Linked DNA regions of Arabidopsis thaliana. The protein of the gene in region 3 interacts with the protein of the main gene of each other region in a pairwise test. Each region holds a gene or a part of one and is shown on either strand. Other genes may lie near its edges. The genes, in order: RPL, BLH6, KNAT2 and BLH5.

Region 1 (5,862 bases), on a different chromosome or scaffold from region 3:
GATTTACTTTTTTCCCATGAGAGGGAAAGGTTATGTATATATATATATATATATATATATATATATCTTTCTTGTTTTCCAAAAGCAAATGGAAAGTTATTTGAAGCAACAAAAGCACAATTTTATTTTCAATACTTTTGCTCTCATGTGATCTTCAAAAGCCAACGTATTAGTACACACTGAACATTAAACCGAACTCATTTGTTTTGTGTGTTTGAAATCGGCTCAAACTTCTTTTATGAGTAGAAGAATTCAACAATGTTGAGCGGATCGGAGTCAAAACTGCATCCGACTCAAAAAGATAACTCAAATAGTCTGAAATATTTCAAGGTTTAGGGTTTGAAAACATGTTGTTTAGTCAATGTTTACTATCAAGTAAAACAAGATAGTTCAAAATATAATATCAACGATCAATGATAAACATCTTAATCGCGTTCTTCAACGATAATTGTGACATACATAAAAAAAAAAAAAGCACCATGTTTTGAATCATGCCAAAATATTAAAACAATGATAGATGCCTTTTATATTTCACCAAGACATAGACAACTCTAAAGTCTAACCCATGTTTTTAACATTGGTTATTGAATCCAATTTCATTTCTTAAAAAGATAACATTTGTGAAAGTAAGCAAACAACAAAAAAAGAAGAAGAAACATTCTAATATACACATCATATGCATTTCAATTCCCCCATATCTTCTTATACATACCCAAACGTCAAACATATTTTTTCCTTTCCACACAAATAATCTCAACCTACAAAATCATGTAGAAACTGATGATTACTACCACCAATAAAATCTCTCCCAAACTGACGATTTTGCCCTTCATACCCACCACCACCATCGCCACTACCACCATCAAGCCCAAACCTCTGAGCAGTTGTCATCGGAAAAGGCTCCGGTAACCCAATCTGATGATGAAGCCCTAACGTCAAAGACACTCCTCCGTTTGTGCTGCTATTCATCACCGGCACATTCGACGACCCAATTCCATACGAGAAACCAACCGCACTACCGCCGCCGCTCCCACTGTTTACATAGCTGTTGTTGTTGTTTGTGCCATGAACGTCGTCGTTTCGTGCCCGTCTAGGCGGAGATGAGTTGTTAGGTCTTTGCTGTGCCGAGGACGAAGATGGGTTGTTGTTGCTGTTGTCAGGGAAGACGGTGGTGCTAGTACGTTCGTCTCTCCAAGAGGAAGAAGAAGATCTCTGAGATTGTCGAGTCTCCAGCATGTGAATCTCTTCCACCATCGGCTTCCAAACCCTAACTCTTGCGTTTATGAACCAATTCGATACCTAAAATAACATTTTACCATAATAAATTAATAACCCTCAAGCGATAGAAAATCCCTAAATTATTCATTATCACCAACGGATAAATTTTCAAAAACAAAAGTGTAACACTTATTCAAACCTAATAAACCAAATTATAACATAGTTACTATACTAATGATATATGTGAAAAGATTTAAAACATATAATTATTGTCCGACAACAGAAACTCATTTCATAAAAGCATATATTTATCTATGTGACTATGTGCATGCTTAATTAGCAAGAAATTTGTTAAATTGTGAACAAGAAAAGATGGAAAGAGAAAAAAGAAGAAGACTGAAGATATCAGAAGTGAAACCTGATTTCTGGAGAGACCTGTCTGCTTAGCCAGCATGAGTTTGTCTGTATCTGTTGGATAACTGCAACAAAAGACACAGACAACAACAATTTAATATATCATTGTATATACTAACATACACATATATATAGACACATAATTACGCTTGCAACACGACATCTCCAAGTTTGGGAAACAAACAAGCAGTCGACATGTCCCATCTAAAACATACTTCCAAGTAAAAATACACTTCGATACACACATATTTATTCACACTGACACACACATATAAAGCTATTGTTCACAAGCATATATATACAATTTGGTTCATGATCAATTAAACGTTTGCATTTAGTTTAATCAATTGTTGGAACCAAGTTCAAACTCGAATCCAACAACTTTCAAAAGCATTTATATGGCGAGAAGGGTTACTTACGGATGCAAGAAATGATCGAAGAGCCAAGCCCTTAGAACAGTAACAGCACGTTCGGGTAGGCCACGGTGCGGTCTCCAAACAGGAGCATGATGATCAGGAAATCCATGTCTTTGACCAGCAGAACATAAGCCTCTAGAACTATCACTTCCTCCAAATCTTAAAGAATCAGTCTTATTCTCAGAGTTCATCGGATGACCACATTGTTGTTGTTGTTGGATCTTGTTGTTGTGGCTGAATTGAAGCTGGTCCGTTATAGCATTCTTCAAACACTTGAAATGCTTAGACAATGCTTTCAAGGCTAAGTTAGCGTACGGAGCAGCGTGCCCGAGACCTGCAACGCATTCGAATGATCCCATCACAGCTTGTAGCTGCTCATAGTATTGCTTATACCTCTTGTAAACCTTCAAAACGTCACATGGAAATGTTTTTAGATTCCCCCACTTACATAATAAAATGGGTGATTATAAATTTATACATTATTTCCTCACTCAAAAAGTATGTTATATACCTCGGAATAAACTAATTAAAATCTTTAAGTCCCTAGCTTTAAGATCATATAATGCATATATTCCTTTCATAAAGAAGACGTTCTCTTTTTATCACTTAATGTTTATACCCCTAAGATTTGAAGAATCTAATTCACAAATTCAGATCAAGAGCTAAGGAAGCTCTATATAAAGTTACTTCCTCAAGATAATATTATCCTTACTTTAGTATAACCTTAAAATTCTATTAAAAATCAGCATGAAGATGGCAAGCTTGTAATTTATATAATGTATTAAAATGGACGCTATAACATCATCTATTCATGCAAAACGTAGGGAACATTAATTTAATTAACATATGGTATTATAATGAATTAAATAAAATATCATATAATTTTAAAATGGCTTTGAAGGAGTTTCATTTTCCAAGGAAGATCTTTTTAAGAGACATATCATTTAACACATTTTGTCTCCAATTCCAAAGGACACCGACCAAAAACTGTGAACATTTAACACAATAATTCACATACTTGTAAGAAAGTATAGACAATAATTAAAGAAAATTTACAGATTTCAATAATTTAAAGAGATTAGAATTGATCATGTTATTGTATACCTCGTCGAGCATGGAGATGAGTTTTGATTTTTTCTTTCCATTATCTCCTCCGCCGCCATCAGAAACACCGCAGAGATTCTCAACCGTCGGATCAAAAAGCAGAGAAGAATCATCGTCGTCGATGACTTTGTCGGTGTAAATCCCACGACCCACATTACAAAACTCATCAAGAAGCATCTGTGCTGGTTTCAAGAACCTTGATCCTTTAAGAATCGACGCGTAGCCCGTGAAAGGTCCGAGAGGACCAGAGCTTCTAGACGCGATGGTGACGGCGGCGGCGTTGGCTTCACCGGCAGATCTACAGAATCCGGAGTTAACAACACCGGGAACGACTAGATCGTAAGCGAGTCTAGGGTGAGAGGACAAAGATAGAGATAGAGGCTCGGGTTTGAAGACAAGAACGTCTCCGGAAGAAAGTCCGGCGTTAAAGGAATGATCTCCGGCGACGGCGACTGCGGTGGATGAAGAAGAAGAAGGGCCACCGAGAAATCCCATGAAATTACTGTAGCTAGGGTTAGATATGTGGTTGTTGTTGTTGTTGGAGTGAAAGCCACCGGCTGCGAGGAAATCGGAATCAGCGAGAGGAAAGACGCCACCTCCGCCGCCGGAGGAAGGAGGAGGAGGAGGGTGAAAGTGGAAGTGGGAATCGAGAGATGGAATACGAAGTTTGTCTCGCCGGCTTTGTTGAAGAACATGATAAGGCTCGTATGCATCAGCCATGGGAAAGGATGATGTCGATGAGATGCAGAAGAAGAAGAAGAAGAAGAAGAGAGAGAGAGAGTAACAGTGTAAGAGATAATGGCGAAACGAGAGGTTAAGAGAGAGAGAAGCTCTTTTGGTGTCTTTTTGAAGCACGATCAATATGTATATCAAATTTTTCTTTATATGACATATTTTGAAAACCTAAAATATAAAATATCTAATGTTTATAAGACTTGGAGGAATTTAGTATGAGCATTACAAATTTGGTCAAGATTCATCTTTTTGGTGTTTGTTACTAAAGCCAATTCAATGCTCTCTCATAGGTCATCCGTAGAATGGTGAATTAAGTTTAATGATTGCGTGGGATTTTAGTATTTTATATGGTTCTGTGAAATCGTGATTTAGTATTTACGTTATTACACGATTTCGTAAAACTGAAATTGAAAAGACATATTCTTTCTTGAATCATTTTTTCGTCTTAGCGTCCTACAATTTTTTTGTCATTTTTCACTACCTGTTTTGTAGTTTTCTCTTATTTTTGTTACATTTCGTTTTAGTCACACAACTGTTAAAAGTTAATCGTATATATACTGAAGTCCTAAAAATAAATCTCATTATTTTTTTTTAAAACGGGTATTTCAAACGATGGATACATAGTAACTCGATATACTTTCCTCATCATGCAAACAAATTCGATCTTTATAATATATATATATATATAAAATACTGATGAAAATCTTTAACAAAAAAAAATACTGATGAAAAGTGAAAAGTCCCGGGTTTGGTGGGAGAGGCTTTGGGGAATCAAGAGAAGGCGACCGGCTGTAACCGGTGACACTGGAACTGGTTCTTGTACAAAGTGTTCTGTGTCTCAGTCTTTCACATACGTACTGACATTTCTACAACTTTTAAGTCTTCTTTTTGTCGTTTTTCTTCTTTTCTTTTGCTGGAATAAATACCTTTTTACGCTTAAAATATTTAGTCACTCTATTTTTATTCGACAATCATACATTCACACTAATCTCCATAGTTGTAGGCTTGTAGCTATAGTACTAAAAGTAGGGATATCAAAATGGATAACCCAACTCTACTCAACTTATAATCAAATGAGTTTAAGAATAAATGAGTTATGGGTTGACCCAACTCATTTTGTTAAATGTGTTGGGTCAACCTATAACTCATTTAATTTAATGGTTTGAGATGTTAACCCATTTAAGTAATAATTTAATTAATTATTATTATAAAACAATAATAAATAATTATCATTATTAATTCATTATCATCAAACTTAAGATATTTACGGATTTTATTTTTTACAGGTTTACGTTTTAGGTACGGAAAATCACGGATTTACGTTTTGACAGGAAAATTATAGTTTTTTACGTTTTTGGCCGGAAAATGATGGGTTTACGTTTTTGGCTGGAAAATTTCGGGTTTAAGCTTTTCGGCGAAAAAATCTCGGATTTACGTTTTTGGCGGGAAAATCACGGATTTACGTTTTTGACGGAAAAATCATGGGTTTACGTTTTGGGCGAAAAAATAACGGATTTACGTTTTTGGCGGGAAAATCTCGGGTTTACGTTTTTGGCGGGAAAATCACGGGTTTACGTTTTTGGCGGGAAAATCACGGGTTTACATTTTTGGCGGGAAAATCACGGGTTTACGTTTTTGGTGGGAAAATTACGGGTTTACGTTTTTGGCGGGAAAATTAAGGGTTTACGTTTTTGGCGGGAAAATCACGGGTTTACGTTTTTGGCGAGAAAATCACGGGTTTATGTTTTTTGGTGGAAAAATTACGAATTTATTTTTTCTCAATTTCATCGCTTGTATATTTAAGAAATTTGGAAAAATATTAATTTTATTAAATTTGTTTAGATGTGTTGGTTAAACTTAAATTGGCATTGGTTTAGAGATTTTAGTTGGTTTAATTCAATTTTATAAAATTTGATGGGTTAATTGGGTAAACCATTGAAACCATTAACCATTACAACCCAACTCATTTTACTCA
Region 2 (5,334 bases), on a different chromosome or scaffold from region 3:
AGAAAGAAGAATACATGAGCATGAGAGAATTCTGAGAATGAATTCAAGAGACTATGGCCACTCCAGTCCTAAACCAAAGCTCGTGAGACCTCCTTTCAAGCTTATTCCCAACTGATCATGCATATCACCGATCGACTATATATAGATGCCAGACTTTCTGAGATGTATAATATATGTAAACCTAAATACTAACACTGCAATAAGTTTGAATGATAATCATATATATAAGTTTCAAGATATGTTTTCTAGTAAATTAATGATTAGATAGTGCTCTTTGCTATCATGCAGAATGTAAATTTGGTGAATAGTCATCATTAGATGAATATTACAATTTATCTGATAGAATCCTTATGATCAAAATTAATATTGAAATATTCGATTAATTCTGAAAACGGATACAGATTGTATATGTGCCAGACAAAAAAAAAGAGAAGAGAATTGGGAACGTTGCAGTTTCGTAGATGTGATAAGATAATAAGTCTACAGTGTAATGTCCATCTCTTGCAGATCTCAAATTGCATTTACCATATTCTGTTTGGTCCCAATGACCTAACCTCACTTATATTCTTGTACAAAAGAATGTTTACTTTATACAAATATTTCTAAAACTTTTTCTTCTGACCAACATTCTTCCACTACAGAATTGAGACTGATCATAAGTTCATCACACCTATGCTTTATTCCTCTCCATTGCTTACTTCTTCAAGCTACAAAATCATGTACCAATTGTGAAGAATTTATCCGGTTCTGGCGACTTCCGGGGTTTACATACTCCATTTCATCTCCCGGGATGGCATTCTCGTAAATATCCACCCCGGAAAAGTTGTTGTATGCCTCACTAGACATAGCCACAACATTGTCCTGTCCTTGAGAGTTTTGAAGCCCTAGAGTCAAGGACACATCACCACGACCCAATCTTGACGTATCAGCCACATGATATGTAGGCTCAACTGCCATGAACCGGCGACCATCCATATGACTGCCTTGGACCATGCCACGAGTTTCCTCGCCATATCCATGTCCATGGTCCGGTTTGGTCTGGTCTTGTGAAAACTCTCGAGCTCGATCTTCATCATCAGCAGCAACAGGTCCTATCTCAGACATTTTCGGTGTATTTTCGGAAGACGAGTTGGAATCATTCTCTGTGAATTCCTCCTTGTATATCTCCTCCACCATTGGCTTCCATAAACGCACTCGTGCATTTATGAACCAGTTTGAAACCTTTTACAAACATAAAACACACAACAATCAATAAATAAACTATACTATGAAGAGAAAGAAACAATCTTCAAATAAAACATTCCTTACCTGACCGCGGCTCAAGCCCGTTTGTCTTGCTAGCATGATCTTATCAGAATCCTTTGGGTAACTATTCATGTTTTCAAACAGTAATCATCACTATTTATGAAGAAAATGTGTGGAGATAAGATTCAAGGGAGACTTACGGGTGAAGAAAATGCTCAAAGAGCCAAGCACGGAGAATCAAAACAGAGTTTTCAGGTAGACCGCGTTGAGGTCTCCAAGCTTGAGGTTGCATAAAACCTCTTTGTTGTCTTAAATGTTGATCAACGTACTTAAGCCGGCTTATAATCCCAACTCTTTTCCCATCTGATCCATCTTGTTGTTCCCCAAGGCATTTACGTAGCACGAGGATTTGTCCGGATATCGCATCCCTTAGGCTACGAAAATGGCGAGAAATTGTTTGAAGGGCGAGTGCTGTGTATGGCTTAGCTGCTCCATAACCAGCTATCACATCGAACGAGGATACAACTATCTGCATCTGCTGGTAATATTGCTTATATCTTCTATCCACCTTTACCAAAATCAAGAAATATCTCATTTTCTTAAATATTCAACATATCCTATATATACCAAATGTAACAACATTATGGCTGCAATTTATTTAAATGTATGCTTTTTTGCATTTAAAATATTATAACAAAAGGCCTATAAAAGGTAACCATCACATGATCAAATTAAGAAGATTAGGTCTCAAGTTATTACCTCATCCAACATTGACAAGAGTTTTGTCAACTTGCTCTGCATTTCTTGTCTCTCCGACTGAGAGATGTCCGCAGGAGGATTCGTGCTCGAGTCTTGAGTGCTCTGATTCGGTTCTTGAGGGTTCTCATTGTTTTTATCTCCCTCTGCCTGAAACTGCTTTAGAGCTTTCTTTACATTAACAGCCTCATCTAGAAGCTGTTGAGCCGCCTTAAGATACTTTGAGTTGGGAATTGTTCTCACAACATCCAAGTTCTGATTCCCGCCCGGAAAACTCTGTGTTGCATACTCATTGCCTCTCGGCGCCATATTTTGATGGCTTATCTGATGAATTCCTGGAAGAATCTGTGAACCAAGGCTAAGGGACAGTCCCTGACCGGTCTGAAGAATCCCCGTGGCACCTGCCATCGCGCTCATTAGCTGGAAACCGTTCCTGTCACTCGCTTGATCTCTCCAAGAACCGAAATCTTGACCAATGTTCTGCATTTGTGGAACTCCCCCAAATCTGGACAATGCTTGCCTCTCTTGTGAGGCTGAGACATTGTTAGCTTCAGTTCTTCTTTCTCTACCGGCTGATTCCTCAGAGTAAGAAACTATAGCATTCTGGATCATTGAATCTCCGGGAATAAACTGTGTTTCTGGATAATTCTCCATCGAAATGGAGTGTTCTTTTTGGCTCACTTGAGTTCCATAGTCCCTTGTTTTCTGATCAGGTCGTAAGAACTTAACCTTATGGAGGAAATGCTTGACATTAAAGACAGATTCAAAAACAATTGAAACAGAGCAGGATCCATATAATCAGTGTATTGCTAAGAAACATGTAAGATTTCAACATGTCTTGAATATATGGTTATGCATGCAATTATGGAGATGCAAGCCAAATCCATAGACAACAAAAAAAAAAGAAGAATTGTATAGAAATAAAAAGATTAGTAAATTACCTGGAAACCAAACTGCTACTTCTGATGGATTGTTGAAGGAGACAACAAAATCTTGAAAAGAATTAAAAATTAGAAAATGTGAAAGATTTTATTGATATCTTAAAAGAAAGAAATCAGAAGGTTACGCCTCTTTCTCTTGGTTGTGTTTTTTTTTTGGTATGAGATATAATTTGAATTCATCATCTCATCAATGTCACACGTGAAAGACCCATATCATACTCTCCCTCCTCCGGAAGAAAGAAAGAATGGAAAAAAAAAACTTTGAATTTCTTATTTAATAGTATATAATATGGTAATAAGAAAATCAAATAAAAACTTTATTTTGTTTTCTGAAGATATTGCTTCAGAAAGCCATAATCTGGTTGGTGCTTGAACCTCCTGCTTCTTGCTTATTGATTCCTGGAGTCAAGTCTTTGGTAAAGAGAAGAAAATTATTGTGAAAATGTTATATAAATGTATGGTTAAGGAGTTTCTATCTTTAACAACCAGTTGGTCGACCTAAACCCCTCTCTCTTCATCTTTCTCCCAATCCTAAACCTAATCTTAATCCCAATCCTTATCACTCTCTGTCTCTTAATTACACATTGATTAAATCAATATCCTCCATATAATCACATTTCTATTTTCTTTACTTAAGTTGAAAAGTACAAAGAATCAAAGATGCTACTAGCTTCTTGACATAAAGTCATCTTAAATTTAAATTTAAATTCGGAAGTGTTGAGTTATATAGTTTATTTTGCAAGTAAACAATAAAAATTTAGCAGATTAGTAGATCGTGGTGAATTTTGATTAAGTATATATATCACAACTTGTTTTTCTGATGAATAGGTCATTAACTTATCATTATAAACACATAACTAATGTTTATTATGTGAGTTTTGATTAAGAGTATTAGCTACTTTACTTTTTAAGTAAGCCAAGCCATGATTGTTTCTTCTTCCTTTTCTTTATATATTTCTTTCATACTTTTTTGGTATCTGATTATACATTCGTGGACTCTGGTCGTCCAGAGGCTATGCAACTATTAAAGAAATAAGGGTCCCAAAAAATAACAAACACAACTTTTTCTTCTTTTTTATTTTCATTTTGTAAACACCATAAGTGCTCGTTTTCCCCACTGAGTTTTGTCTTTTCCTGGAAACAACTTGTAGATATTTATGGATTAGTACTTTTTCTTTCAAATGCTTCTAAACTTAGCATTCACTTTCTTGTTTGACAGAAGTCTATATCCTAAGTCCTAAGTCCTAACTTGGTAACTACTATAATCTTTAAGACTAGGGTCCAATACTGATTAGAGGCTGAGAGAATCGTTAGTTCCATGGGCGAGACTTGAGAGCAACAACACAAAGATAATGAGAATGACTTAGATAGTGATAGGAAGTTGATCAGGGTGGATTTTTGAAGAAATATAAAGTATTAGGTGTAGAATGAAAATAGAGGTATAGCTGTCTGAATAGGGACAGATGTTGCAGCGAGAGGGTCAGAGCCAGAGATGCCGTAATAATACGAACAATGAACATCTCTGAAGGAAGAGAGAGAGAGAGAGAGAAAGAGAGAATCTAATGGGATACGAAGCGAGAGATTTTGTTGGCCCAATAGAGCTGTAATGTCCCAAAGACACATCCTTTTTTCCATAACTATAACATTTTTATTAGAAGACCAATTTAGTTTGAAATAGATTATTGTCTAGTTACTAGTCTCTTGCATGTGTTTTTAACACATATAGACGATACAAATACATTTTGGCAGATATTGAAACCAAAAAGACGGAACAAAATTTTGAAGAGAAGCAATATAAGAGTTTCAGACCTATATGAGAATAAGAACTAATTTCAAGATCAACGAGATTATATAACTACTACCATGTAGAAGTAAAGATATACATAAAAGGTAAGAACGAGGTTCTAATGTCCAAGATCATATTCAGGCAGATAACTTTTTTTTTTTTTTTTTTTGAGCAAATATGGGCCTAATTCCTTTTTTTAGCATACAATCCAGATATTGAGAATGAATCTTATTTTTGAAAATATGGGCCTCTTACCAAAGCCTATTTAGTCTAAAGTGAGAATTGTTAAATGTAAAAAGGCATGCTCATATTAAAGAATAAAAATTCACCAAACTCTGTTGCAGAAAAGTCTTAACCAACATAACATTAAACTGCTTTCACATAGAAAGCAAAAGTCTTAAACAACATTACATTAACTCCTTTCACATAAACAGAAAAGTCTTAAACAACATTACATAAACTCCTTTCACACAGACACAAAAGGCTCTTTCTTGCTCAACGCATCAACACTCTTAGTTCAAGATTTCACCTGTAATGGGTGAAACATGTTGGCTCGTAGACTTCTGCCCATTTTTCGAACCGACCACTACCATAGGCTTTGGTGGT
Region 3 (7,829 bases):
CAAAAACCGATCCGAAAAATCCGGCTCCGAAACCGAGCCAAATAGTCACAAAATTCGAATGGATAATGAATTCTTCTACCCGAATGGATAATGAAAATAAATTATTTAGTTGACACATCAGCTATCTAAGTAAGGTTCAATACAAATAAGAAATCTATCAATTTGGATGATTGGAAGATTAGTGACATAATATTGCCACTATTTCCAATACAATGTCTCGTTACGCCCTTGACCGTTTTGGCTAACGGGTTCCATTCATTCGCGATGATGCCCCATTTACCAAAAGCTTTTTACTGTTTTCTTTTCTTGGAAAAACAGTGTAAAAATTATACAATGCACAATTTCATGTCTCTCTTTTCATTACTCGGTAAAGAATGTTTCATTAGAATCGTCCATCATATCAAACGGCATGTTCTCCGAAGGCTTCCAATGGCGTTTCCTTTGGTTTATAAACCAATTGTTGATTTGTTTTTGATCCAAACCTGTTTCTTCAGCCAGAGATATTTTGTCGCCTTCCTATACACATTCGAGAGGCGGATATTAATATGTCGAAGAAATAAATTAATGAGTGTATGCTAGGTTACGGTGGAATCAGAAAGACACTTACAGTAGGGTAAGGCCATTTATTATGAACATTCCACCAATCGAGCAACGCTTGTCTTGCTTCTCTTGGTAGCTTCCCTTTCTTCTTCTTTTTAGAGAACTCGAGTTTCAATGAACTGATATGGCTACCAAATTTGCGTAGTAGCTGGTCCTTCAGATCGCGGTCATTGCTTCTTTGTTGGCTGTCATCCGCTGCTATGTCATCATCTTCTCTCAGTTCCTCGTCAGATGAAACCGCACCATCATCTGCTCATACATGAGAATAATGTCATACAGAAGATTCAATAATGATTAGCTCCCACGTATTAGCCAAATACGTGCCATACCGATAAAATGTACTAGGAGAATGTATGGTGGTGCTATTTATGGTAGCATATTTGACAATGTAGAAAGCAAATTCTACCACTATGCCAACACTAACAAACATAGCTAACACTAAGATACTAGTAGGCTCGGCTAAATGACTAAGTGGCTAAAGCAGCTAAAAGAAGAAAAGAGCCAAAAAAGCATAGAGAAGAGAACAAGGGTGAAAGAAAGGAAAAAAAAAAAAAAAAAAGGGTGAAAGAAAGGGGTAAAAGGGGAAAAACAAGGATAGCGAGATAATATCGAGGTTTTACAAGACCCGGGCACAAAAATGATCAGTCAAAAACTTTCGCAGTCACTGAATAGTTTAGCTTCCATTGCCACTGACGTGCTCCTTTGGGACTTACCACTAGCCACCTGAGTCACGACACGTATCACCTTTCTGACACTTGTTTGAGTGACCCCCGGAAAAAACGCTTCCCCAACATTTATGAACTTTCTCATAATGCCCCATTTATGACCATACCATACTGACCCCTATGTTACTGCGACTAAAAGGGAGCCTAATTAAGGGAGTTTAAACATGATTAATGGTCAAATTATTTGCATTAATAGAAATTTCACTTAGTATTCTCAACTTAGTGATTACAGAAAGACATCGTTTCAAAGTCTCCCTAAAGAGTTTAGGTTGTAGTTTGCTACACCACTAATGAGCTGATCCTTAGACAAATCACACAAAATATAGTTCACACCCTATCCATGAAAACTTTGCTAGTTGAGGATGGTATGTGCAATAGTAACTCGGTTTGTTCTTTACCTATTAGCCGAATTTGGTTCCTATATAACATCAAGACAATGCGAAAGAGACAACATGCACTGATAAAAAAAAAGTAGATAGACTTGTACATCTCCCAAAAAAAGTTAAACACGTGGAAATTGCATGGCCCATTAAGGGAACAAACGCAGAGAGGAAATGACAACCACTAAGCAACAGTAGAAAAAGATGTGGAGAAACATTAGTCGTAAGATGATTGCATTGTACATAAATCAAAACCCATGTCTCTCCCCTATTTTCTTCTCTTTCTTTTTCTTTAAAATCAAATCAAATCTTAAAAAGAGAGTGTTGCGATTGGGTCATAAAGGGATCCACCAACGTAATCCACGGGAGTCCATGTGACACTTGACCACCTCATGCTTCTGTCTCCAACTTCTTCTATTTAGAAATTAAAAAGGGCTAAAAGATTTCTAATTCAAGCATTTGGGTGTGTTTTTTTGTGCGTGTCAAAAGGACCATTCTATCAACGAAGGTGATATAACCAAACAGATTATCAGTATTATCATGTCTAGAACTGGTGAAGTAACTAATGTGCCATGACAGAGTATTTTGTTCAAAAGAACATGCTTTTCGAGTTTCCTACGAACATTGAATGAATAGAATATCATTCACAGCCAAAGATATATCTAGGGTGAATGCATAGGGACCTAGGGTGAATGCATTTTACAACACAAAAATACTAGTTGTAGACTGTAGTGAATAATCTTAAACAATAGTCCTAAATTCCACATATGGATACAAAATCGCACATGGATCTCATTGTATCAATACACCATCCGAACACCAAATGATTAGAAGAAAATATGAGGATGGAACAAAAACCATGGCCAAGATTGACCATCTTAATCACGAAAAGGGTCAATTGCACACTAAAGCGAGAACGAAAAAAATAAGTAAACACAATTGCTATGACAAACATCAGTTGACTAAAGAGGATTTGGTTTATTCCTAAAGCATATTAGCACGAAAAGAAACCAAAAGCACATGACTCTGAAAACTACATATTATGAGTTATACTATTAGTTTAAGATATTCAGTTGAAAAGAAAGTCCTTTCTCGGGACTTAAGAAACAGAAAAAGGTATTGACCAAGGAAAAGATGTTCATAAGGTAATATATATTCCTTCAAAATCATACATGAGATTACGCTAAAAAGGTAAGTGGTACTTCAAAACCATTAAAAAACTAAACATTCGTCCAATAAAGATAAATTCAAGCTGCAAGTGATCTGTTTTTCAACCTTTTGGACAAGATTATTCCCTATGTAAACTCCAATTAATTAAGTACGCTGATAAGTATTAACAACTTTTCGGAATTAAACAATGCTAACAAAGTACAACCGAAGCAGCATTTGATATCAACATATAAGAAAAAGAAGACTATTAAAGCTGAATTCCACTATATTGTAGTTCCAATTTTTTTCCAGCTAGTTCTTATCAGGTGGAGATGAAGAAGTAAAATGATTACTTTAAAATCCCTAAGATAGTGAAATACTTTACTTATAAAAAATATACACACGTATTCTGACAACATGAACGTGGCTAAGTAGATTAGTGTAGATTAACAAGAAACTAATTTTTGCCCTGTTGGAAAGGTTTAACCAATATAAGCTACAAAAACAACACAAAGACAACTAAAATTACATTCTTTTAAGAAACCTACTATTCCTTATTTGGGCTGCTTGTAAAATACTTACAAAGTTCTATTCTGCTTAATTAAGAAAACAAATGGTGGAAAAGAAGGTACCATTAAGTTTAGTTTAATACCTCGGCAAATTAGTAAACCTCACTTACATTGTGTAAGTGTCTTAATGCATTTCAATCATTTATTTATTCACATAAAATTCCAACAAGAATACAAGAATAACAGACACATTAACCACGACATGCAGAATATACAAGCCTCTTGGCCATCAAGCATTTTTATGGACTTACATGCGCATGAGCTCAGATTAACTGAAATCCAACAGAGATTTGGTTTAGCTTTTTCGAGCTAAAGAAACACAAAATCCAACTATTTGACCTGATCAAGACACTTCTTTGGTTTACTAAGTCAGATAGGTTCGTGAAAATTAATCACACCAATGATTTTGTACATGTAATTTGAACACAGTGGACTTCAAATGTAAGACCCTTAGGTGCAAATACAATGTATTCAAAAATAAGGGCTAGTGTCATTAATTTTCACATACACTAAGAAAACAAATCAATCTTATGTTATACTCATTATACACAATAAATTTTTATCTCTCTAATAGTAAAAACTAAAGTGACATGGATAAAACTTAAGTCTGACACTTTCTATGGAAAAGTAGTATAAACTTTGGTTCATTCACCAAGAGAAGTTGGAGTAATCAAGAACTAGTAAAGTTTTGTTTTACCCATCAGTCTCTTAATGAAGATGAAAACAAGCGATACTACTAGAGATCTAAACATGAAGCCAAGGACAAACTCAAGAAAAATCAGTGGCATTTATTAGTGGAAGTTATGACTAGGTTTTTTCTCTATGATTGAATTTTCACTGGAAATAAGCAATTAAAAAACTTCCAGTACGACACTGAAACGTCAAAATCAGAATCTCTAGCGCAAAAGTTTTTGCTTTCATAGACCCATATTTTCTTCTGACAGAGGAGAAGATAATAATACAAGTATATATAAAAGTAACAAAAGAAAAGTATACCATACCAAAATCACTAGGAAAATAAATATCACTAACAGAGAAAATCCTACCCACCGGCTTTCCCCTAATATCCGCCCCACAGCTTAAACCATAGCTAATGATAGAAAATAAATGTCACAAAGATGTGTGAAGGTCATGGATCTATCTAAAGCATGAATGACTTCTACCAAATATAAAAGATGTGGCTGAATCAATCATTGTTTTCTAACAAAACTAGGGTTTTAGAGTTTCCTTGTTTTTTTCTGACTTTTATTGCCTTGGGTTGTCTAAACCGGATCTACTAAGCTCCTCCTAGTTTCAGCTACAACAACTTATCGATTCTCGTTTTCTTTAAGGAAAAAAAAAACAGTAGAAGATTTCCAATTTTTCCATCAATTCCAAGAAACTGATCATTGAAGCACAGAAAGGAAAAGTTATCTGAGGATAGATTTTCTAATCCGCAAGATCTGTAACTGTAAGGAGAAATTTGCGCAAGGATTTTAAAGGACACACAAACCGAGGATAGTGCTCAAAGATCAATAAAAACACTAGCTAGGAAACAAGAAATCAAAAGTACACTCGAACAAGAGATAGATATCACTTTAGTGCTGACCTGAAAGAGCTGTAGCAGACGCTGGACCAGTGCACAAGTTCTGAAGCTGCATTTCAATCTTGTTTATGAAAGTTGTAGCCTCGTCGAACGGCCTCGCAAGATCGGTTTTGTATTTAACCAATATATCACAGTAGGTTTCCTAGAATCACACCACAAAAAAACAAAATTATATTTTAAGAAAAACTAGAAGATCAAAGTTCAAGGCAACGAACAAAGTGAGAAACCATGAATTCATCAAGCTCAGGATCAGCTCCAAAGCAAGATAATGGAGCAACATCTCTCTTGTACACATGGTTCTCTCGCTGAATCTCTTCCAATATACACGCTATTTCCATAGGCGCTCCCACCTGTCAATCAATAACCAAAAAAAAAAAAAAATCACTCTCACATATAAACACAGTCTCTCTAGTTCTCCAATCTTATCTTAGGGTTAAAGTGGAATAGAAAAAAAAAAGTAAGAGAACTATCTTTAAATACGACGATGAATACATGTAAAATTCCTGACGCTTAATCAAATTAACCTTGAAAGCACAAAATCATACACAACAAGAAAAAGAAAAGACAAAACACGAAAGCAGCGAGATCACCTTTTGGCAATCGATGTAGGTTTGGAGTAAGCGAGGATACAAAGGATGAGAAGCGATTTTGGATTTGATGACACTAAGAGAGAAATTATCCTCAGCTTTTCGAATACGCGGAAGCAACTCCGAGGACAAAGCGGTAGCGAGTTCGTCGGATCCAAACAGTCTTTGATTGTCTCCGGTGGTTGAACAAATCAAAGACTGATAATCGGACGGCATCATCAACGTCGCTTTCTCCGAATAGTCTTCCGTCGAGCGGAAACCACACATTCTATCCATTAATGTGATCGTAGTGAGATACGATCAGTGATCGCCGCTTCTTCGATCCCTAGCCTTGTGCTTGCTTCTGAAGAATATGAAGAAACACAAAAGTAAGAAGTAACAAACTGCTTCAAAGAGAGAGAGAGATAGAGACAATGGAAATAGATAGACTGGCCAAGTTGAGGCGGTCTCGTAGTATAGTAGTCTGAGGGCAATGATCGTAAATATTTCAGCAAAAAACCAAAAAAAAAAAAAAATGATTTGTGACGAAAAGCAAAAAAAAAAAAAAATCACGAATATGAATTTTCATAGTTTATTATGATAATTTACAAGTTTTTCTTAAAGACACCATAATTTTTATTTTATTTTGTCGTACTAGTATAAAAGAAGAAAGATTTCAAGGGTTTGCCATATGTGTTAAGGAATACGATTCGAGTGATTATAAAAAGATTTCTTCGTGATTCAAGAGCACTTTTTTTAACTGTACGATTACATGGTTACGATTATTTTTGATATATAATATTATCGCACAAATGATCAAAATAGCACGCTAACCTTTAGAATTTATGACTTAGCTAATGAAGACAACAATTAGTACTTGTTAACAAAAACAGGTTAGACGATGGTAATTTGAATTTTGACAGTAAAAACAAATGATGGTAATTTTGTTAATTAATAAGCTTTTTGTTTCAATTACGGTGGCCGACACCTACTAGGCTACTACGATTCTAGTTGTCTAACCGGATCGGTTCAACTTCAATTTCACTCTTTCAATTTTCACCTAGTTTTGTTTCTCTGTAAAACACGTCTATGGTAGCTAGGTGCTCATTATCAATCACAACATAGTAAACAATTTTTGTTTTTTAATTGCTTTCAGTCATTTGCTAATTAAACACACTCTTAGGAACTATTTTTTATAGTGGCCACTCCACTTATCGCACTTCTTGTTATTTTCATAGAGAATCTGTTAGTCGCGTATAATATCAACTCAAAATGTTTCATTACCTTATATAGTAACAGAACCTGCAGTTTTTGTCATAAACCAAAATCCATCTATAAACCCTGTTGTAAGAAAAAAAACTATATTTTTGCATGGGTCTACTCCAGACCCGATCCGATGATCCATATCGTTTTTTCCGCAAAAAAAAATAAAAACAAATGTCATAAAGGTCTTTTTGATGATGGACAGGTTTGATTGACACATCCGTCGGACTACTTTGGTGTGAAATTTAACTGACATAAAGCTTTGTTTTAGTATCAAACCTTATAAAAACGACAGAACTTTCCTTCTCTCTCATTTCACTTCGTTGGATCGTATCGTATTGAATCCCCACCGGTGGCCTTCACAGCACATATTTATATTGTTTCTAAACTTTTCTGTATTTTTTGGGGGGGGTCACAAGTTTCTATAATCTATATGATCACTATCGTCGAGAAATGATTGCAAAAAAAAAATGTGTGTCTTGCAGAAAAAATAATAATAACAAAAAGTGACGACTAAATTATTAGATCAAGTGCATATAATTATGTTGCTAAGATAATATTGTACCACTCGAATGTTTCATCATGGATTGTTCATACTGTTCCCGTGATTTAGTGTTGTTAGGTTTCAATTCTTTGTATTGAGGTTTTTGTTAATATATTATTGTACCACTCGGTTGCTTCAACTTTGTAGGAGTTTATTGTCATTCTTTTTTGTATCTCATATCATCAATATGTGGTTTTGAACAAATTTGTTTCTGTTGTTAGAAATGTTACTGAAATTGGAGATTACTTAGCTTCTTATGGATTTTATTTATTTATTTTGGGAATCCCAGGTCTTAATACTCTCCTTTGGTTGTTTCTCTTTCTTTCTAAGTAGTTTTATGCTATACAATTACATGTTATCAAAATAATCTTAATATGGTTTATAAAATTTTATATGCTTGTCTTAATATGTTATGTTTTAACAAATATTGTTTTTAGTCATCTCTACA
Region 4 (4,637 bases), on a different chromosome or scaffold from region 3:
TTGATCTAAAAAGGAAAAATACTATTATCATAAAGTGAAAGATATAAATACAACTTGGATCTGACCGACACGATGAATTCTCATACACAGTCTCAATCCACCAAACTAAATAGTTATTATCACATTCAATAATAGAAAAAAAATTGATCTCAACACATATCGCGATATCAATTAAGATACGTCTAGCTTTATTTCGGTGTGTGATGGGAAGCTTTCCGAGGAATACAGGCAGATAATGGCATCACCAAAAAATAATGTCTAAATGTAATCTATTAATAAAATCCAAATTTTATATTAGTATTCGAAATTATTTTCTAGATACATTACTATGTCAAAATGTGTTTTAACTATGGATGGATGCTTAATTCGAAGAGTAATGAATTTCCGGGAATTGTGGACCATGTGGTCTATTTTCCAATGTACCATTACTATCTTCAAACACAAGTACTGACAACACAAAGAAAACATAAGAGAAAATATGATTTAGAAAACTATATGAAAGGAATAGGGAAATTTTGAAGATAAAGGCGGAACCAGGCAAATAAACTTTATTTATTTTGGCTGATAAATTTTTAAACATAGATTTGCATTGCAATACAGTTAATTAGTTGTTTAGTTGTGGAAAAGAAGAAAAAGAGTGACTTGTCGCAAACTAATATGGTTATCTAAATACATAAAAGAAGACTTTTGATGTGTGGAGTGGAAGTAGACGTTTCCTCGTTCTTCAACTATCTCCATGGTTCTGCTGACCCACTTCTATTATCTTTTCACATACATTTAACTATACACATATACATAGATTCATTGTAGATTTTAATTTAGTAATAATAATACAATATACTAATAATAAATGTTGACCTACTAAGTTATTCATGTAGGGATCATATAGATGCGTTGCCAAATATTAAACGTGCGGACATCAAATGATAAGACAATACTACCATCTGTAATATATTTTTCTCGTCAACAACCATTAATTAAAATCTTATTTCACCTATAGTATACAAATGGTAAAACGAATGACAATGATAGAAGTGTGATCGTAAAAATATATATATGGTAGCTATACTTATTCTTAGATAGATTGTCTCGTAGATCTACATTTGCGACCACATTGAAATTTTTTAGCTAGGTTGGATATTGGGTGTGAATCGTGCCTAAGATGCAAGTGAGAAATATTGGATATGTAGCAGTAGCATGCCGTGCATATATCATGTATGCTAGAATTGGTGATTGGTCAAAATCCATTGAACTTCGAAACATCACAAGAAAAATATTAATCGTGAGTGTCACTGTTTAGTTGTCCAATGAGATATAAAAGAAAAAAGTACATATTTTTCCCATTTATGAAAAGTCCAATCACATTTTATTTATAAAGGCGACTTATTGGACTTTCTAGTTGACAGATCAATGAAGCAGAGGATATTTAGATGATCATCGCAAGCAGAGAGAAAGACACGTCGAAGAAGACAATGAGAAACTCACACCCATAATTTGCTGCTCATCATTTCTAATTATTAAATAAAAACGGTAATTTAATTTTCTTGATTTGTCACATCTTTATTTCATCATCTTTTGCTTACCTTTTCTTCCTAAGCTCTTGGATATTATTAATGTTTTAGATCGATTTATATTATAATTTGATATTTTCTTGAATTGCAAGTTTTGTTGCTTAATTGTCAGAATAATGGCTGCTTTCTTTCTTGGAGAATCTGAAATGAGAGAACACTCTTCTGATCTTTTTATGATGACTCTGAATCCGTTTCGCGAGCAGACAACGACCACTAATGCTCATGACGATCACTTCTACAACTTGTGCTTTGGTTCCCAACAATATAGACCTCGAGATGAAGTAGGTCATATAGAACAAGGAAATTCTTCCATCTCCACTTTTTCAAACGGAGGAGTCTTCAGGGCTTTGGCTCCGATCTACTTGAAAGCGGCTCAAGAATTACTCAATGAGATTGTCAATGTTGGAAACGGTAGCCACGGCGCAAAACAAGAGCGACCGGTGAGTAAAGAGTCCACGATTTATGGAGTTGAGGACATCAATGGTGGCTATAAGCCTGGCGTAGCTGCTTTGCAAATGAAGAAAGCAAAACTCATCTCCATGGGTGAAATGGTAACTTATTTATACCTACCTATATAATATGTGATACACAAATAATAATAATAAGATCTTTGTATATACAAACCAACCATGGTGATATATATAATGGCAATAAACTTTCTGTTACTTTGAGATCGGGACTCAAGTTCAGTCCATATATTTGGTTATTGCATGTTAAGTATTTGATACTTTATAAAGGTTTCAAAGATTGGTAAATTGATTTGGGAAATGAATTTGGTAAATTATACACAGGTGGAACAGAGATACAAGCAATACCATGACCAAATGCAGACTATAATCTCATCGTTTGAGCAAGCTGCGGGTTTAGGCTCAGCAAACTCATACACACATATGGCGTTACAAACAATATCAAAGCAGTTTCGTGCTGTAAAAGACATGATAAGTTTGCAAATCAAGCAAATAAACAAGCTCTTGGGACAAAAGGAATTTGACGAGCAGCTTAAGAAGTTGGGAAAGATGGCACATCACCATTCAAATGCTTGGAGACCGCAGAGAGGTTTGCCCGAAAAAGCTGTTTCCGTTCTACGCTCTTGGCTCTTTGAGCATTTTCTTCATCCGTAAGTAACGTTTTCTTCTATCTTTAATTCTTGTTACGATTATTGTCGATATATCAGAATGATGGGACCTTGAAGCAAAGGGAACTAACTAAGGATATGGAAGCTAGGATCATTACTTAGTTTTGTATAGACATGCATGCTAATGATTTAGTTGTGTCTTGTTTTGGTTTGTATAGATATCCGAGGGATTTGGATAAGGTAATGCTTGCCAAACAGACTGGCCTTACTAAGAGTCAGGTAATTGATTTCGATTATCAGAAGTTGGACATACTTAAGTTTCTTAATGTTAGATGTCTCATACATAGTACATATACAATTTCATGACATCATCTAACACCGACTATCAAGAATAAATAATCTACAGGTAAAACCGAATATATATATAGATTCAAACAAATTTTATTCCGATCAAAAAAATATTTTTAGAAAGATATCTCTTTATTTCTATTTTTTTTTCTTTTCGAGTCTGAAAACAAAAACGTACCCAAGAATTCTAAGAAAAGCAGGTAAACCAAATATATTTTGGTAAATTTATTTAGATAGATGATGTATATTTATTTTATTATAATTATTTTAATGAAAATAGCGATGATAGCATACGAGAAATATCATATATGTGATCCTTTGTAAAGTAAATCAAATTTATTTTGGTTAAATTAGTAATTATATATATTATGGAATACTTTCTTTTAGCACCCATGATTATATATAATCAAAATAAGTATTGTTAATAGTATCTTGTGTAAAATGGATGTAGGTGTCAAATTGGTTCATTAATGCTCGAGTTCGAATGTGGAAGCCACTGGTGGAGGAACTTTATTCGGAAGAAATGGATATTGAAGAAAGCAGAAAAGGAAGTGACCGGTATAGTACCAAAGGTTCATCTTCAAAGCAACCGTACAATAATACAACTTCAAATGAATCTTCGAACACGATCCTACCCGCCTTTCGTCAAGGATTCACTGAAACTGAAACCCCTAGGCAAAATTCATCCTCAAGTTGCAGCGTAGTCATGAGGTTCACGAAGCAACACATGAATCAAGCGAACTTCATCAATTTCAACGGAGGGTTCGAAAACTATCACACAATGGATGGAAACAGCGTCTCCCTTTCCCTCGGCCTGCCTCATTCTTGTGACCAAACCTTTAATAACATTCATTTTGAGTCAACAAGTCATGGAACTGAGAACTCGGCCATATATTCATCTTCAACTTATCAAATCATGGATTAGAAATAATTAGTGGGGATGATATATTTTCTGCTTGTTGCTTACGTATATTCTGTGTATAGTTTTGGCCCTTGGATGGTTTCGTATGGGTTGATGTGTGTAGATTGATAGAGAGGAGATGATTAAGTAAAGGTTATGATAAAAATGTAGATAACAATACTAAGCTAAAGAAATATATATGGTTTTCGATAGTCAGGTTTTAGTTAGTATTGTTACGTATGAGTGTAAATGAAGATCAGATCAACCGTGAGATCCATATTAGCTAATAGTTGTGACTTTATGAACGTGTATGTGTGTGTGTGTGTGTGTATGTCCCCAAAAACCCTAACTTAATCTCCCACCTCTTCTGTCTTTTTTCTAAAATTTGTTCCACAAAACAATGAATATATATTAGCTATAATTATTATTTTGTTGTTTTACATGATCATCTTAGTGACCTAACCACAAGTTAATTGGCTACCAAGAAGTTATGGATTTATTTATTTGAGTTGATTTTTTGTTTGTCTTCCATATCCAATTTTTTATTTTTTATTTTACAAACTAACAAAATACAGAAATGTTTTAAAAATGATGGTAAAATAAGAATATGATAGAAAAAATGGGAGAGAATATTTTCTGTATCATTAAACACACAAACCGTTGCTACAAATTACATACTGAAAAATATGAATGAAGACATTATACAAACGACCAAACACACCTCTCTATGATACATAAATAC

The links.
Region 1: the proteins of KNAT2 (region 3) and RPL interact in binary tests that used the Arabidopsis thaliana proteins (3 or more experiments, as listed by UniProt).
Region 2: the proteins of KNAT2 (region 3) and BLH6 interact in binary tests that used the Arabidopsis thaliana proteins (3 or more experiments, as listed by UniProt).
Region 4: the proteins of KNAT2 (region 3) and BLH5 interact in binary tests that used the Arabidopsis thaliana proteins (3 or more experiments, as listed by UniProt).

What each region holds. Positions count from the first base shown.
Region 1 is NC_003076.8:393,764-399,625, reverse strand, and holds RPL (POX (plant homeobox) family protein), read right to left. Parts: upstream 4,060-5,862; 5' UTR 3,873-4,059; coding exon 3,153-3,872; intron 2,453-3,152; coding exon 2,052-2,452; intron 1,698-2,051; coding exon 1,637-1,697; intron 1,300-1,636; coding exon 754-1,299; 3' UTR 501-753; downstream 1-500.
Region 2 is NC_003075.7:16,529,844-16,535,177, forward strand, and holds BLH6 (BEL1-like homeodomain 6), read right to left. Parts: upstream 3,520-5,334; 5' UTR 2,943-3,519; exon of another isoform or gene 2,731-2,942; 5' UTR 2,656-2,730; coding exon 2,005-2,655; intron 1,814-2,004; coding exon 1,446-1,813; intron 1,370-1,445; coding exon 1,309-1,369; intron 1,222-1,308; coding exon 703-1,221; 3' UTR 503-702; downstream 1-502. Other genes in the region: AT4G34600 (uncharacterized protein), read left to right, coding at 1-115; SSR16 (small subunit ribosomal protein 16), read right to left, coding at 5,241-5,334.
Region 3 is NC_003070.9:26,574,677-26,582,505, reverse strand, and holds KNAT2 (homeobox knotted-like protein), read right to left. Parts: upstream 6,021-7,829; 5' UTR 5,872-6,020; coding exon 5,599-5,871; intron 5,359-5,598; coding exon 5,224-5,358; intron 5,151-5,223; coding exon 5,012-5,150; intron 850-5,011; coding exon 608-849; intron 517-607; coding exon 361-516; 3' UTR 75-360; downstream 1-74. UniProt on the Arabidopsis thaliana protein: May play a role in meristem function, and may be involved in maintaining cells in an undifferentiated, meristematic state. Probably binds to the DNA sequence 5'-TGAC-3'.
Region 4 is NC_003071.7:11,636,588-11,641,224, reverse strand, and holds BLH5 (BEL1-like homeodomain 5), read left to right. Parts: upstream 1-1,687; coding exon 1,688-2,122; intron 2,123-2,308; coding exon 2,309-2,688; intron 2,689-2,864; coding exon 2,865-2,925; intron 2,926-3,445; coding exon 3,446-3,919; 3' UTR 3,920-4,119; downstream 4,120-4,637.